Linked DNA regions of Arabidopsis thaliana. The protein of the gene in region 1 interacts with the protein of each later gene in a pairwise test. Each region holds a gene or a part of one and is shown in the gene's direction. Other genes may lie near its edges.

The links.
Region 2: the proteins of CRK13 (region 1) and SMO1-2 interact in a protein complementation assay, tested with the Arabidopsis thaliana proteins (one large-scale study listed by BioGRID).
Region 3: the proteins of CRK13 (region 1) and AT1G17145 interact in a protein complementation assay, tested with the Arabidopsis thaliana proteins (one large-scale study listed by BioGRID).

What each region holds. Positions count from the first base shown.
Region 1 is NC_003075.7:12,148,144-12,153,489, reverse strand, and holds CRK13 (cysteine-rich RLK (RECEPTOR-like protein kinase) 13), read left to right. Parts: upstream 1-1,851; 5' UTR 1,852-2,071; coding exon 2,072-2,945; intron 2,946-3,030; coding exon 3,031-3,168; intron 3,169-3,259; coding exon 3,260-3,369; intron 3,370-3,463; coding exon 3,464-3,674; intron 3,675-3,749; coding exon 3,750-3,987; coding exon of another isoform or gene 3,988-3,991; exon of another isoform or gene 3,992-4,074; coding exon 4,075-4,219; coding exon of another isoform or gene 4,220-4,292; coding exon 4,293-4,598; 3' UTR 4,599-4,817; downstream 4,818-5,346.
Region 2 is NC_003075.7:11,954,294-11,958,792, reverse strand, and holds SMO1-2 (sterol C4-methyl oxidase 1-2), read left to right. Parts: upstream 1-1,874; 5' UTR 1,875-2,097; coding exon 2,098-2,433; intron 2,434-2,511; coding exon 2,512-2,834; intron 2,835-3,175; coding exon 3,176-3,323; intron 3,324-3,416; coding exon 3,417-3,449; intron 3,450-3,609; coding exon 3,610-3,669; 3' UTR 3,670-3,953; downstream 3,954-4,499. Other genes in the region: AT4G22758 (PPR containing protein), read right to left, coding at 1-316. UniProt on the Arabidopsis thaliana protein: Non-heme iron oxygenase involved in sterols biosynthesis by catalyzing the removal of the first methyl group at the C-4 position. 4,4-dimethyl-9-beta,19-cyclopropylsterols such as 24-methylenecycloartanol are the preferred substrates.
Region 3 is NC_003070.9:5,859,532-5,864,551, reverse strand, and holds AT1G17145 (RING/U-box superfamily protein), read left to right. Parts: upstream 1-1,661; 5' UTR 1,662-2,034; intron 2,035-2,293; 5' UTR 2,294-2,310; coding exon 2,311-2,514; intron 2,515-2,610; coding exon 2,611-2,662; intron 2,663-2,750; coding exon 2,751-2,796; intron 2,797-2,885; coding exon 2,886-2,967; intron 2,968-3,065; coding exon 3,066-3,216; intron 3,217-3,312; coding exon 3,313-3,379; intron 3,380-3,713; coding exon 3,714-3,780; intron 3,781-3,862; coding exon 3,863-4,201; 3' UTR 4,202-4,474; downstream 4,475-5,020. Other genes in the region: AT1G17147 (VQ motif-containing protein), read left to right, coding at 602-898.

The sequences.
Region 1 (5,346 bases):
GGTTCAATGAAAACTTGCGATCGAAATTTAATGGACGTGAATATATGCATGTACAATGCAAACACAATTGCTTGCTGTCCTAAACCAGAACAATATATGATCTTGAAAATATATTTAAAATCTTTTGTTTTCTCCTTGTAGGCTTTCCTGTTGTGTTTGTACCAAGCGGGAAAACTGGCGTTTTTACACCCAATGATAAGTATGATACAAACCGTCGCCTTCTCCTCTCTTCTCTAGCTTCTCATGTTGTAGCTCGAGGTGACTTCTACAGTAATTCACTTGGCCAAGTCTATGATCGGGTGTATGCTTTGGGGATGTTCATCTCAGTTGTTGAACCAAAGGTTTGCTCAAACTGTATCGACCTTGCTTCTAAAGAGGTGTTAGAGGAATGTACCAACCAGACAGAAGGCATTGCCTGGCCCGAAAATGGGATTCTTTGTATGGTACGTTACTCCAACCGTTCGTTTTCTGGATCACTTGAGATGGAACCAAAGTATATATGCATGTACAATACTGGAGATATCGGATCCGAAAACTTTGATAACCTGTGGGACGACTTGACAAGTCGTATGATAGCTGGAGTTATATGATCGTTTTGTGCGTGTTTGTAACATATTTATACTATCTATAAAAAGGTTTTCTTAAAAATGGGGATGGTTTGATGATATAAGGTTTTGTCCGAACCGCATAACTTCCTTTTCCGGTAAAAGGTTGGCAAGCCGGATATCGAGATTGGAAGGGACAGTGCTGAGCATGGACAGGTAGGGGGGGTGAGTTTTGTGCTTTAACCTCGATCCGCTTGTGCGAAGTACTCGTCACATGTACGATTCTAGCCGGGCTATTTCTAGCACGGTTCATGATCGCTACATACAAAGCCTTTTTATTTTATTTTAATTATGTAATCTCAAGAGCCGTTTATGTTTCTGTACAATATTGTGTGATCACTACCAAATGATCTGAGTGTATGCCATGGTGATGCTTCTATAAACCCTATAATCTCTTCAATCTTGTGTGACTAGGATATGCTTGGTAGTTCTATAAAATGGTGTACAATTCAGTTTTTTTTTGGGTTTGGTTTGACATGGGAGTATGTGATAGGTTCATCACTCTGGTAACGTGCTACACAAGTAACTGAATCTTTTTTGCAAAACCAATGAAAGAAGGATATACTACAAAACCGGTTAATTTGCAAAACCAATGACACAATACATAGCCCTCTGCAACGATCATCTGATCTTCTGCATCTGCCTTTGCTTCGTCAGGTTTGGTGATAGGAGACTTAGAAGTTTTTGGGTTCAACGGTTAACACATATGGTTAGGAATGATGATGAAATTCAACGTTTTCCACTAGCCCAAAACCATTGACTTTTGTCGCGGGTCCGTTTCACGCCGTATATGTCGAACATGGAGGGTTGAAGGACCACTGTTATCAGTTTGACGAATTCAGTATTTAGATATTTTCAGAGAAACTCGATTTCTTTTTTAGTAAGCTATAAAAAACGCGTAAACAAAAGACAAAGAATTAGCGATTAAAAAAAAACTAGGGATAATCTTTTAAAGAATTAACGCTTAATTATATCTAAATCATTAACTGAATAGTTCATTATTCACGTCTTATTAGCGAATGGAGATAGTGCGCTAGGTTATAATAGGAGCTAAGGTAACTTAGAGCTCACGAAAGAGTAAGGACTCATCAGGAACTGGTGGCTGACTGGTGCTTTTTAAGGGGTTTGTTACGTGGCAATTGCGACGTCTTTTGAATGCGTTTTGGTTTTAAAGGTAAGAAATTGGTTAGGAAAAAGCTACGTAATTTGGCCGTGGATGAGTGTTAAATGTTAATGGTACCTCGACCCCAGCCTCCTGACCTAGTACATATCTACATTATTATTTGAAAGGATTTAAACATAATAATACTGTATGAACAGAAAAAAATGAAATAAGACTTTTGATTTTCATCTTTTGTTTTGTGACATTTAGAAAGTTTCTGAGAAACAACAATTGCTGTTTAAATTGCTAAGGAACGAACAGATGTTTAAACACTAAAACAAAGCTATAATCTCTAAGGCAAAAAATGAAGCAGAGGAGTTTATTATCAATCCTCTGTTTTATCCTTCTAGCCTCTGGTGTTGCTTCTGTTTCAGCACAAACATGCATAGAGAACCGTAAATATTTCACACCCAACGGTACATACGATTCAAATCGTCGTCTTATCCTCTCTTCTCTTCCTAACAATACCGCGTCTCGAGATGGTTTCTACTACGGTTCCATTGGAGAAGAGCAAGATCGAGTCTACGCATTAGGGATGTGCATCCCGAAATCAACTCCAAGTGATTGTTCTAACTGTATCAAGGGCGCGGCAGGCTGGTTGATACAGGATTGTGTCAACCAGACAGACGCGTACTATTGGGCACTTGATCCAACGCTGTGCCTTGTCCGCTACTCCAACATTTCTTTCTCAGGATCTGCAGCTTTTTGGGAGATTGAGCCGCAGTATTTGGTGTTGAACACTGCAACTATCGCCTCAAATCTAACAGAGTTCAAGACAATATGGGAAGACTTAACATCTCGTACGATTACTGCAGCCTCCGCAGCAAGAAGCACACCATCGTCCAGTGATAACCATTACAGAGTTGATTTTGCGAACTTGACAAAATTCCAGAATATCTACGCATTGATGCAATGCACGCCAGATATTTCTTCTGACGAATGTAACAACTGTCTCCAACGAGGCGTACTTGAGTACCAGTCATGCTGTGGAAATAATACTGGAGGCTATGTTATGCGGCCAATCTGCTTTTTCCGGTGGCAGCTTTTTACATTCTCTAAGGCTTTTCATAACATTACCTTGGCTACTACTCCTCCTCTTTCTCCTCCTCCACTGCAACGTCCTGTGGTTGCGTCACAACCACCTTCTGCAGACAACCGGGACAAGAAGAGAGACAATAGTAAGTCCTTGCAAACTTATGACTTAAAGTTACAGTCACAAGACTCTGTCCAAAGACTTATAAGGTTTTTTTTTTCATTCTACAGGTAGCGGAAAAATCTCAATGAAAACTATTCTAGCAATTGTTGTGGTTGGTATAGTCATCCTCATCATCATCTCGGGAATTCTTGCTCGCCGGTTTGCTCGGAAGGAAAAACCATATCAAGAAGTTGAACTTAATCAAAGTGAGTGTTGTTCATTTGTTTTATTTGGCCTCTAAGCTTTTACCAAATATATTGTCTATGGAACTAATTAGATCATTTATTAACATTGTAGCTGGTATTACATCTGTACGCTCCCTGCAATACAAATTTAAGACGATCGAAACTGCAACAAATAATTTTTCAGAGAGACTTGGTCATGGTGGATCTGGACATGTTTTCAAGGTATCATTTCTTTAGCTACTTGTTTCATTACTTCTCTTGAAAAAACTTAAAACTACAGAGTCAAAGTAAGCTAACCATACTGTCTCATCTTTAGGGAAGGTTGCCTGACGGAAAGGAAATTGCAGTGAAGAGATTGTCAGAAAAAACAGAACAAAGTAAGAAAGAGTTCAAGAACGAGGTTGTTCTTGTCGCGAAACTTCAGCATAGAAATCTTGTTAGACTTCTCGGTTTTTCTGTCAAAGGAGAAGAAAAGATCATAGTCTACGAGTATTTGCCCAACAGAAGTCTCGACTACATCCTCTTTGGTAAGAAAAGATACAAATAATAGGGTTATATTCTCTGAAACACTACTTCTTGATCTCATATCCTAATTTGTGCAGACCCTACAAAGCAAGGAGAGTTAGACTGGAAAAAGCGGTACAAGATCATTGGAGGAACTGCTAGAGGGATTCTATATCTTCATCAAGATTCACAACCCACAATCATACATCGTGACCTCAAAGCGGGTAATATCCTCTTGGACGCTCATATGAACCCGAAAGTTGCAGATTTTGGGACGGCAAGGATCTTTGGGATGGACCAAAGTGTAGCTATTACAGCGAATGCAGCCGGAACTCCGTAAAATTCTCTTATATATTACTCATGATGGTTATGAACTTTAATTGCAAGAATATTTTCTTGACCAAAGTAGAATTAATCTTGTAGCGGTTACATGGCCCCAGAATATATGGAACTAGGCGAATTCTCGATGAAATCTGACGTGTATAGCTATGGGGTCTTAGTTCTTGAGATTATATGCGGCAAGAGGAACACGAGCTTCTCATCTCCGGTTCAGAATTTTGTCACATATGTGAGTACTATAATCGTATCTCACTGTTGTTGTAACTGTAAGATTTGGATTAGATCATTGAATTTTGTTTCAGGTCTGGAGGTTATGGAAAAGCGGGACACCATTAAACCTCGTTGACGCAACAATTGCAGAGAATTATAAGAGTGAAGAAGTGATAAGATGTATCCACATTGCGCTCCTATGTGTTCAAGAAGAACCTACAGATCGTCCTGACTTTTCGATAATCATGTCGATGCTCACTAGCAATTCCCTCATCTTACCTGTTCCTAAACCACCTCCATCCTTCATTCCAGGTAGACCAAACCAATCTACGACGAGGCCCAGTTCCCAAAATATCAATGATGGAAGGTGGTCCTTGTTGAAAATGATGTTCCATTGAGACATTGGAACTTGTTTGAAGTAAACTATGTTTTTGGTATTTCAGTTTAAACTGTTATGAATTATTCATAAAGTTATGTATGTGTAAATTGTGAGATACTCATCAAAGTAGTTATGTACACTTAGAATTTTCTATTCCCTACATTTTTATACGAGCTCTTTGTTATAAAATCCGTTTAGATGGTTTCTCAAACATTGCCTTCAATCACTTTGATGCTTATACCAGCTCTCTTCCACTACACTGTGGTCTGTGGACTGATATTAAAAGTTTACTTGGTATGGAAGTAAGCTATTTAGTTGACGGTTCCTTCTCTGTTTTGAATCAACCTCTGCCCATCCTCTGTTTTTTCTCGACTCTGTTTTAGGATGAGGCTTGGGACTAATAATATACACTTGTAGATATTTATCCCACATAATTCTCTAGAGGACTTGAAGACGCTATATACAAGATTCTAGATACTGGATTCTAGATACTGGATCGATTTAATTAGTAATTGGTCAAATAATGATACCTGACCCATAATAAAAAAAAAACTTGTCAAAAATCAACTTCATATTTCAGTACACTTGGAGCTCGTATGCATATTAACTCGGCTTCATTGAATTAATTCTCATTTCATACTCCATTGTTTTCAGTTTTGTTTTTCATTATGTTTACATTCATCAAACAAGGACAGGTCATCCAATAAGAGAGACTTGGTCACAAAAATTCCAAAACGAGATATTACAAGTGTGAAGAAGCTAACAAG
Region 2 (4,499 bases), 190 kb from region 1:
GCGAATATAAGTTCAACAACGACGGAGACGAAGCGAAAACCTCAGAGCGAATCCTAGGCAAGTAAACGATCGGTTTTGTTTCTTCTTCCATCGGTAAACCTCTCATCGGCGATGGTCGCCGCAAGTGATTACTCTGTCCGTCGCGGTGGCGATTAAGACTCGGCTCTGAGAAGCTTCTCTCGAAAACCTTATTACTCGATTTAGAGCGATTATTCTTGTCGGAAACATATCTGAAAGCTGTTCGTCTTGTTCTGGAGCTCCGACCTCCATTTCCTACAGGATTCGAAACTTTTCTCCGGTGAATCGAATCAGACATTTCGTGAATGATGATCTTTGCTTAAGGAGGAGGAAGAAGAAAAAACAATTGAGAGGTTTTGGTGGTTTGCTTGGCAAAGAAGCGAATTAAGAGTTATTCTCTGCTTTTGCTTTGCTTTACTCTTTTATTATCTTCTTTTCTTTCATTTGTATTTTTCAAATGTTTTTCCAAATCAAATTGTTTTTTTTTTTCTTTTTAACATAAGTGTGGATTTTAACATTTAAATTCAAACCGACCAAAAAAAATACACGATTAAAGGTAGTAATATAGACGTGGTTCTTGTAATATAGTATTTATATTTCCTGTCGACGATCGATTCTTTTATAGTATGATATCTTGTGCTGATTCTTACGTACTTGTGTTTATTATAGTAAAATAGAAATGCGTTGAATTGTAGCACTGTATTAGATTAAAACTTCTATGTAATTATGGAGCTAAAATGTTTTCTGGTTAGCATACGGAGTATTTTTTAAAAAATCTATCCTTATTATGGATAAAATGTGTTGGAAAAAGGCAATAATATACTTGTACAAATGAATATAAATTTCTTGATGCATTGTTTTAGAAGATTACTTGGGAGACTCACAATCCTATAAAGTGTAAAGGAAACAAAACTATTGGATTTGTAGAAAAGTTGACACGTTAAACAAGAAAACGAGAAACCCAAACAAGTTTCGTAAAACACAAAAAATCTAAGGTGATAGTGAGAAGCACATAAACAAATGAAAAAAAACACATAAACAATTAGAGAGGAGGGAGACTCAACTAGTATCATCAATTCATTAAATTTTACGAAAGTGCTGAGTAATGGAAGTAATATAAAAAATTTATAACCAAAAACAAGAATTCATCAACGTCAAGAAAAAACAACATAAAATAAAAAGGAGAATTTGTGTGGCTGAGATTGGTCCGAGGTTTGTTTCCACTGTTAAAAGAAAGAACTTTTGGGCTTGATTTAAAGTCATTAATGGTGTGGTCGACTTCTCTTATGCCATACGCACTCATGTTCACGCGTAACGCACTTGTTTTCCACCAAGTATTTAACAACGATCGTTTGTGACCCTTTTTTATGTATACTTGAAACTTAAAAAATATGTATTATTACATTTAAATATCATTTATTGTCATGACGAAAAAATTGTAAGACTTTATAATTTCAAATGTAACGTCACTTTTCGTGATGATGTAATACCATTCTATTACTTAAATACAATTGGCCAACAGCCTCAATTTATTTCAACCTTTTGCTATCTCTATAGTATAATGGTGTCATAAAAATTCATAGACACATTCCACAAAACTCGTGTATGTATATCCGTGTCTTTATATATATGTGTATATCCAAGTGTATAATAAAGTTTTTTTTCTTAAAAAAAAAAACAGAAATTTGTATGCACCATTTAAACAATTAAAGAAAGAAAATTGGGCCTACTCCAAACACAACGCTACTGTGGAGTACATTTTATCCATTTTAATGGCCCAATAATTTATAATGGGCTTTTAGTATGGGCCATTTTGTCCCTCTTTTTTATGTTGTAAGCGAGATCTTGAGACAATGTTAGTAATTTTGGTTTAATCCGGTTCAACAAGTAAACATCACACTTGTAAACTAAACCGATAATGCCACGTCACTACTCCAAATATTCGCCAAATCATAACAGACAAAATCCAACAACAACGACGACACTCTCCTCTCTCACTCTCTCTCTCAATCTCAATCTCAATCTCACGTCAACGACCGTCGCCGTCACCGGAAGGAAACGATTTCATCATCTTCTACAATGATCCCATACGCAACAATCGAAGAAGCGTCGATCGCATTATCTCGAAACCTCACATGGCTAGAGACTCTCTGGTTCGATTACTCCGCCACCAAATCCGATTACTACCTCTACTGCCACAACATTCTCTTCCTCTTCCTCATCTTCTCTCTCGTTCCTCTCCCTCTCGTTTTCATCGAATCATCTCAATCCACCTCAGATTTGTTCAATCGCTACAAAATCCAACCAAAAGTGAAAAACTCATTCTCATCGATGTTCAAATGTTACAAAGACGTCATGAAGATGTTCATCCTCGTCGTTGGTCCATTACAACTCGTTTCTTATCCTTCGATTCAGGTTAATTTCTGGAATTTGGCTTCTAATTTCGGAATTGATGCGATTTAGGTTGATTTTGTTTTTCGTGTGTTGAAACAGATGATTGAGATACGAAGTGGATTACCATTACCATCATGTATGGAGATTGTAGCACAGTTAGTGGTTTACTTCTTGGTAGAGGATTATACTAATTACTGGGTTCATAGATTCTTTCATTGTAAATGGGGTTATGAGAAGTTTCATCATATTCATCATGAGTATACAGCTCCTATTGGTTATGCTGCTCCTTATGCTCATTGGGCTGAGGTTTTGCTTCTTGGCATTCCCACGTTTCTTGGACCTGCTATTGCTCCTGGTCATATGATTACCTTTTGGTTGTGGATTGCTTTACGACAGATTGAGGCTATCGAAACTCATAGCGGGTAAGGAAAAGGAATGGTTTTGAATTGTTTATCTTAGTTTATAATGCGTTGGGGCTATGTGGGAAGTTTCAATAGTGCGTTTACCTTTTGTTGGTGGGGCTAAGGTTAGGCACTAGCCTTTTCTGATGCTTTATTGACTGTAATTAGCTCTAGGTGATTGTTTAGAGACTGCTTAGTTAATCTTTTGTGGTCAACATGAGCAAGAAATCATTCTTGAGATGATAAGCATCTTGTCTTGTTCAAATAAGTATTTGGACAATATGATGATTGCTTGGTGCATGAAACTTGTTTCTCTGGAGATAAATTGACTTGTTTTTTTTATTTTTCGTTTTCTTTTGAAGATATGATTTCCCATGGTCTCTGACAAAGTACATTCCATTTTATGGTGGAGCTGAGTATCATGATTACCATCACTACGTTGGAGGACAAAGCCAGAGTAACTTTGCTTCAGTTTTTACTTACTGCGATTACATCTATGGAACTGATAAAGTGAGTAATGAAACTTCAGTTCTTTTCCGGTTAGCGTCTACTAATTCTGGATAAAAATTTGACAATGTGGGTATATGTTCTTATTTTCATCAGGGTTACCGATTCCAGAAGAAGCTTCTTCAGCAGGTAAATAAATACTCCATAAACTGAGACTAGCTTATCTCTCGGCATACCGCATACCCATAAACGCAGCCATCAAATTGCAAGCTCACATAACAGTATATGTGGTATCTAGTATCATCATATTGATGATATGTTTCTTGATGCTATATCTTATGAGTTGCAGATGAAGGAGAAGTCCAAGAAGAGCAACAAGCTGGTTAATGGAGGAGAGAAATTCGATTAGTAAATCTAAAACCCCTCGCGAGGTTGACTTACCGTAAGTTTCAAGCATTCTACAAATGTAGTCAATACTTAAAAATGAAAGGGTAGTTAGTTTTCTCTGTTCTGGTCTTCCCTGTGTCACATGAAAATGCTCGTGACGAGTTCCTATCTGAAGTTTTTTTTAAAACTCTTTTGGAATTGGTGTGTGTCAATAAATCCTTTTTGTATATTTTAAATGTTACATAGTGCATTCATTGGCTTGTAACAAGTTCCTACTCTGATAGTATTAAGTTAAGTTAAGTATAACTTAAGTATCTAACGTTAACAACAAGGCCCGTCTAGCTCAGTTGGTAGAGCGCAAGGCTCTTAACCTTGTGGTCGTGGGTTCGAGCCCCACGGTGGGCGTTTCTTTTCCTTTTTGTTGCATTTGAGTGGCATGATTTAAAAGGAAAATCCTTACCATAACGATAGTTGCATTGATGATGGGGGTCGATTTCACTCTCGGAAAACAAATCTAATCAAAGAAGGCTAAAACAAGCGAAACACATGCATTTACTAAAGCTGTCTCACCAAACTTGAAAACAACAGTTTTAAGTACAGTAGTAGGTACAATAACTTATTTAGTTGTTACCAACTAATTTATGACTTTAAAATCGAAACACTCTCTTCCTTCCTGTGTTTTTTCAACTAAACCTAACAACACACAGTTTTTCTTTAACACACATTTCCTTGTTCTCGTTGTCTTAGAATTACCATGGACACAGTGAATATGATAATAACTTCAAGAATGGGGTTGTAGCTGTGTGAGGCTATATTTTTTTTTTTGGTTTAATGAGGCTATATTGTAAACTA
Region 3 (5,020 bases), on another chromosome or scaffold:
TTGCAAAAAATAAACCCCACATGTGTATAGAAATTCTTGAAATAAGTGACAATCTCCAGTTTCAGTTGACCCCGTCGTTACAAAAACTCTAAAATAGATTTTATTATATGCAACGTTTGATTAGTTTTTTTTTTGGTAAAAAACGTTTGATTAGTTGATTCTAATTTCTTTAAATAGTGGAAAATTTGAGCCACTCCCTGATATCTAATCAGTATATAATTAGTCATTAGTCATGAAAGCATATGATCGTAACTCCACACGTAAGCAATTTCTAGAATCAAAATATCATTCGATCTATATAATAATATTCTTTTCCAATCCACAACTATGGATATAGAATATAAATGCTATATCAATAAAAGAATCTGCTCTCTTATCCATATAGTTCATAATACTAATTAGGAGTCCCCATGATAATAAATGTTTCTAAACAATAACTAAAAATCAATAAAATGATAAAAGTTCGGTCTCCCCACAAATATTATATATATTCCCATATATTTATCTACACATATAAATACAACCAATATCGGGGAGATTCAAAAGGCATACTACTCAATAGAGCAAACCAAAAGAAAAAATCTCATATAACGCCAAAAATATGTCTGCAGGAGTGAGATCTGAACCGATGAAGGTTGTCTTCATTAACACACAGTACGTTCAGACAGATGCTCGGAGCTTCAAGACAATTGTTCAAGAACTCACAGGTAAAAACGCAGTCGTCGCCGACGGTCCTTATGAATTCTCCGGTCAAGGGTACGGTGGCAAAGATTCATCACAGCGGTTTTGTGGCGTAGGAAAAGAAGCAGAAAGAGGTGTAGAGACGACGGAGTTCGATAGTTTTTTCAGAGAGATGCCTCCGGTCGGCGAATTGTATAATCTTTGGTCAGACCATTGACTAGACTAATAATTCGTTCTTTTTTTTCCCACAATATTAAGGCCCATTGGGTTTAATATTATTATCTCAAGCCTATGTGAAACACGAATGTTCCTTAGAAGGTGAACTTCTTTTTTTTTGCTTAATGCATTAATGTATTATACTAGATTTTAACCTGCGGTATACCGCGGAGACAATTTATTTCCTTAAAGTTAGTATATATAAAAGTTTACAAATTTTATCTATCTATAAAATATTTTTATTTTATAGTTTACAATTGTTATTAAGTAGCTTCCTGCCAAACCCGTCCCGCCAACCCGTCTCGTAAAAAAAACTATTTATTTTATTAATGTTGATCTTATTTATGATATGTTTATGAATCATTGTCTAAATATTTTGTAATTTTGTAGTAATTAATTGCTATCAAATATCTTTACGGTTTGCTGCTTATAATCGAATTGTTATAGTCATAAAAAAAGCAATATCAAAAATGATAATTTTGTAGTATTTAAATGATATTAAATATTTTGGAAATTTTATTTTAGTAATTAATGGTATAGTTAATGCAGAGAGATTTTAGAAAGGTAGTTAAATGCAAACATTTAATTCGAAGATTTACTTTCTAATTATCAAAAACAATTATTAAATGCCAGTGGTAGCCACTGTAAATAAGTCTCAACTTGAAAATTTATTTCACAAAGTGGCTGCAAAAATGTATATGTAGATTATCTTTCACTTTTTTAAAAAAGACAATCAATAAAATCATTAGTAGCATAGTTTGTTTATTTTTTTTGAAAGTTTTTTTTCGACCCTTATATTATTTTTTGAAATAAATATTTGCAACAATAATAGTCTATCAGATTTTACGACAAAATATCAGAAGGAACAAAAAAAAAAAGAAGAAGCGTGGAGAAAGTTAACGCGCGAGAGGGGCGCGTGACGATAAAGAAGAGGAAGAGTGAAAACAAAAGAGATGACGACGATTCATTTCTTTCGTATCCGACTAACTCCACCGTTTCGTTCTTCGTTCTTCATCGGATCTTTCTTCTTCACGACGACAACATTACTGTATATCTCTTTCGCAAAGGAAAAGTTCTGATCTTTGTATTCTCTTATCATTCGTTATCTAAGTCTCTTCGATTCTCGAAGCTTTTAAGGTTTCTTCTCTGACTCAAACTTTATTACTCATTTATATTCAAAGGGTTTGCAAATTTTCTTCTGTTTGAAAAGATTTGTTGCTTCAATTCTTATCAACGGTTGGAATTTAGGGTTTTAAACTTTGTTTGTTAGTTTCGGAAAAAAGGAAATGGCTTTGGATTGCTACAAGCTCTTTATTGCGTTTTGTGAATTGTAGAAAGTGAAATTGATTTCTATTTGAGTGTTCTTATTATGTCTCTCTACTATCTTAATTTCAAGGCATTTAAAGAGACGAAATGGGTAATAAGCTGGGAAGGAAGAGACAGATTGTGGACGAAAGATACACAAAGCCACAACAAGGTTTATACATGAGCAAAGATGTTGACATTAAAAAGCTTAAGAAACTCATCTTAGAGTCTAAGCTTGCTCCTTGTTATCCTGGTCTTGAAGAAACCCCCTCCTCCCATCATGATCTTGAAGAATGTCCTATTTGCTTTCTGGTTTGTTTTAAGTCTTTCCTTTTTTGCTTACTTCCTCATTCAAGAAGATGAAATTGACCAACTCTCATGCAATTTTTTGTTCTTCTGTGTTTCTAGTATTATCCGAGTCTTAATAGGTCAAGATGTTGTATGAAAAGCATTTGTACAGGTGAAGAAATGTATTTGTTAGTCATCTCTGAACTATAGAATGTTTCTTATCCGGTGTAGTCATTGACTTTGTGTTTGGTTTTATACAGAATGCTTTCTGCGGATGAAGAGTCCTAATTCAGCTCAACCTACTCAGTATCCTTTTTCTTATAGTTTGCATTAAGCTTTTGGTCTTCTTTACATATGAAAATGTCTACTTTTGAGTCCTCCTTATCATATGTAAGATGCCCTTTTTGCAAAACATCCAATTATGCTGTCGAGTATCGTGGAGGGAAAACTAAAGAGGAGAAGAGCTTTGAACAAATTGTAAGCCAGACTTAAATCTTGAAACAGTATTGTTTTTAAGAGTATGTGATGGAATTACTGGCTGATTCTGCCAATATTGTTATCTCTGTGTTATGAAGGAAGAGCAGCGAGTTATAGAAGCCAAAATAAGGATGAGGCAGAAGGAAGTTGAAGATGATGAAGAAAGAATGCAGAAACGTCTGGAGTCATATTCTTCTAGTTCTAGCACTAGTGCAGCGACTCTTGATACAGAGTATGGTTCTGCTGCAGGTTAGTTCTTCTCTCGGTTTCAACTTTCAACATGTGTTAAATTTTACCACTTTTGTTATTCTTGGTTCGCAATCTCAATCAGTAGCTTTTACGCAGAGGATGATGAGGAAATTGTTTCATCTCAAGAATCATGTCTTCCATCTCACCACCCTCAGGTTACAAGGTTTGTCATTTTCCTAGAAATGGACCTAAATGACTTTTATGAGTATCCATGCCATGGGGTTGTATGAACAGCCTTTTTCTCTATTTAGCTGTTAAATTTCATTTGTATTAGTCCTATCTCTTGAGAAACTTTGATGCTTCGAGAACCGTTACAGTTAAAACTTAAAAATGAACCCCTTCTTAAATTGTCTCTTATTAGTCAGTTATGGTATTACATTTTCAGATCATTCCTTTCTGGCTAAAGTTATATGCACAACGGTAATACGTGTTGGAACTTTGAATCTGAGTGGTTCATATCAGGTGACTGATATGTGGTTATCTGGAAAACTCTTCAGGGACGGTCAGTTTGACTTTGATCTTGAAGATATAATGGTCATGGAAGCAATATGGCTTTCGATGCAGGTAATTTGTTTGGTTAGTAAACTTTGAAGTATATAGCATTTATCTGAATAAGATAAGCCTAACTATTTTCTTTCTTTAACAGGAACCAGGAATTCAGAGAAACACATCACCTGATGATATTTCAGAAAAAGATCGTAATGAGGAACCATCAACTCCGTCATCATCATCTCCATCAGGTGGGCTAGCTTGTGCAATTGCTGTTCTTGCCGAACGTCAGCAAATGGTTGGCGTATCTTCTTCGAATCAAAACGTTAACCTTGCATCACAAAACCTTGTTCCAGACAATGGTAACAACAGTCATTACAATGCCATAGAACAGGATAGTAACCATTACCTTCAAGGAGCAGGAATCAGCTATACAAGATCAGATATGACTGATGATAGCGGCGGTGAGACTTCCAGGGAAGTTACATGGCAATAGAGAGTTCCCAAAGGTAAAGAGGAAAGCTTCAAAGTTGTTATATAGTCTTTTGTTTATATTATGTTAGCGGGAGTGAATGGTTTTAGATTGTTAGTTAGTTTTGAGGGTGTATGTTGATCACTTCATACATGTGCCAATAAGAAAAACCAAAACGATTTTCAATTCCTCCTACAGAAGGTTGGTTGTTTGGTTGTATTATTATGAATGGTAAGCATTGCACAAAAATGAAATGAAGAATATAATTTACAAAAAAGGGGAATATAAATCGTGATTCCGTGAGATTCCATTATTGGTAAAACCTTAGCATCAATGAGGGATTTTGCCATTTTAGCAATTCCATGTATTTTTATCAATGAAAGCAATAGTTTGGAAGAGTTTGTGATGAATGGGGGATTTGCTAAAGGAGTAAAAGAATAGTTAGTTAGTAGTTGAGGAAATGTCAAGAAAGGACGACAAAAATGAAGATACACATGCTTTGGTCTCTTTGATATTAAATGAGAAGAGAGAACATAAATTGAAGTGTGAGTGAGAGTGGTGGTCATCTTTGGGAGTTTAAGGGTTTTTTTAGCCTTGAAGTGATTTACTTAAGAGTTCCTCTACTCACATGCTTTTGTCTTTCATTCTTGAATAAGTACACTTCACCTTTTTCTTACTTTAGAGCGTCCATTTACATTTAATTTCCAACAACTAATAAAAATATGTTTGCTCTAAATTATTTATTATAGTCGCATTTCTACTTTTTGATCAACCCATGTTAGGTCGAATTCTATTGCGTTTATATTCGAAATGGGAAATGATCATATTAAGTTGTTAACAAAT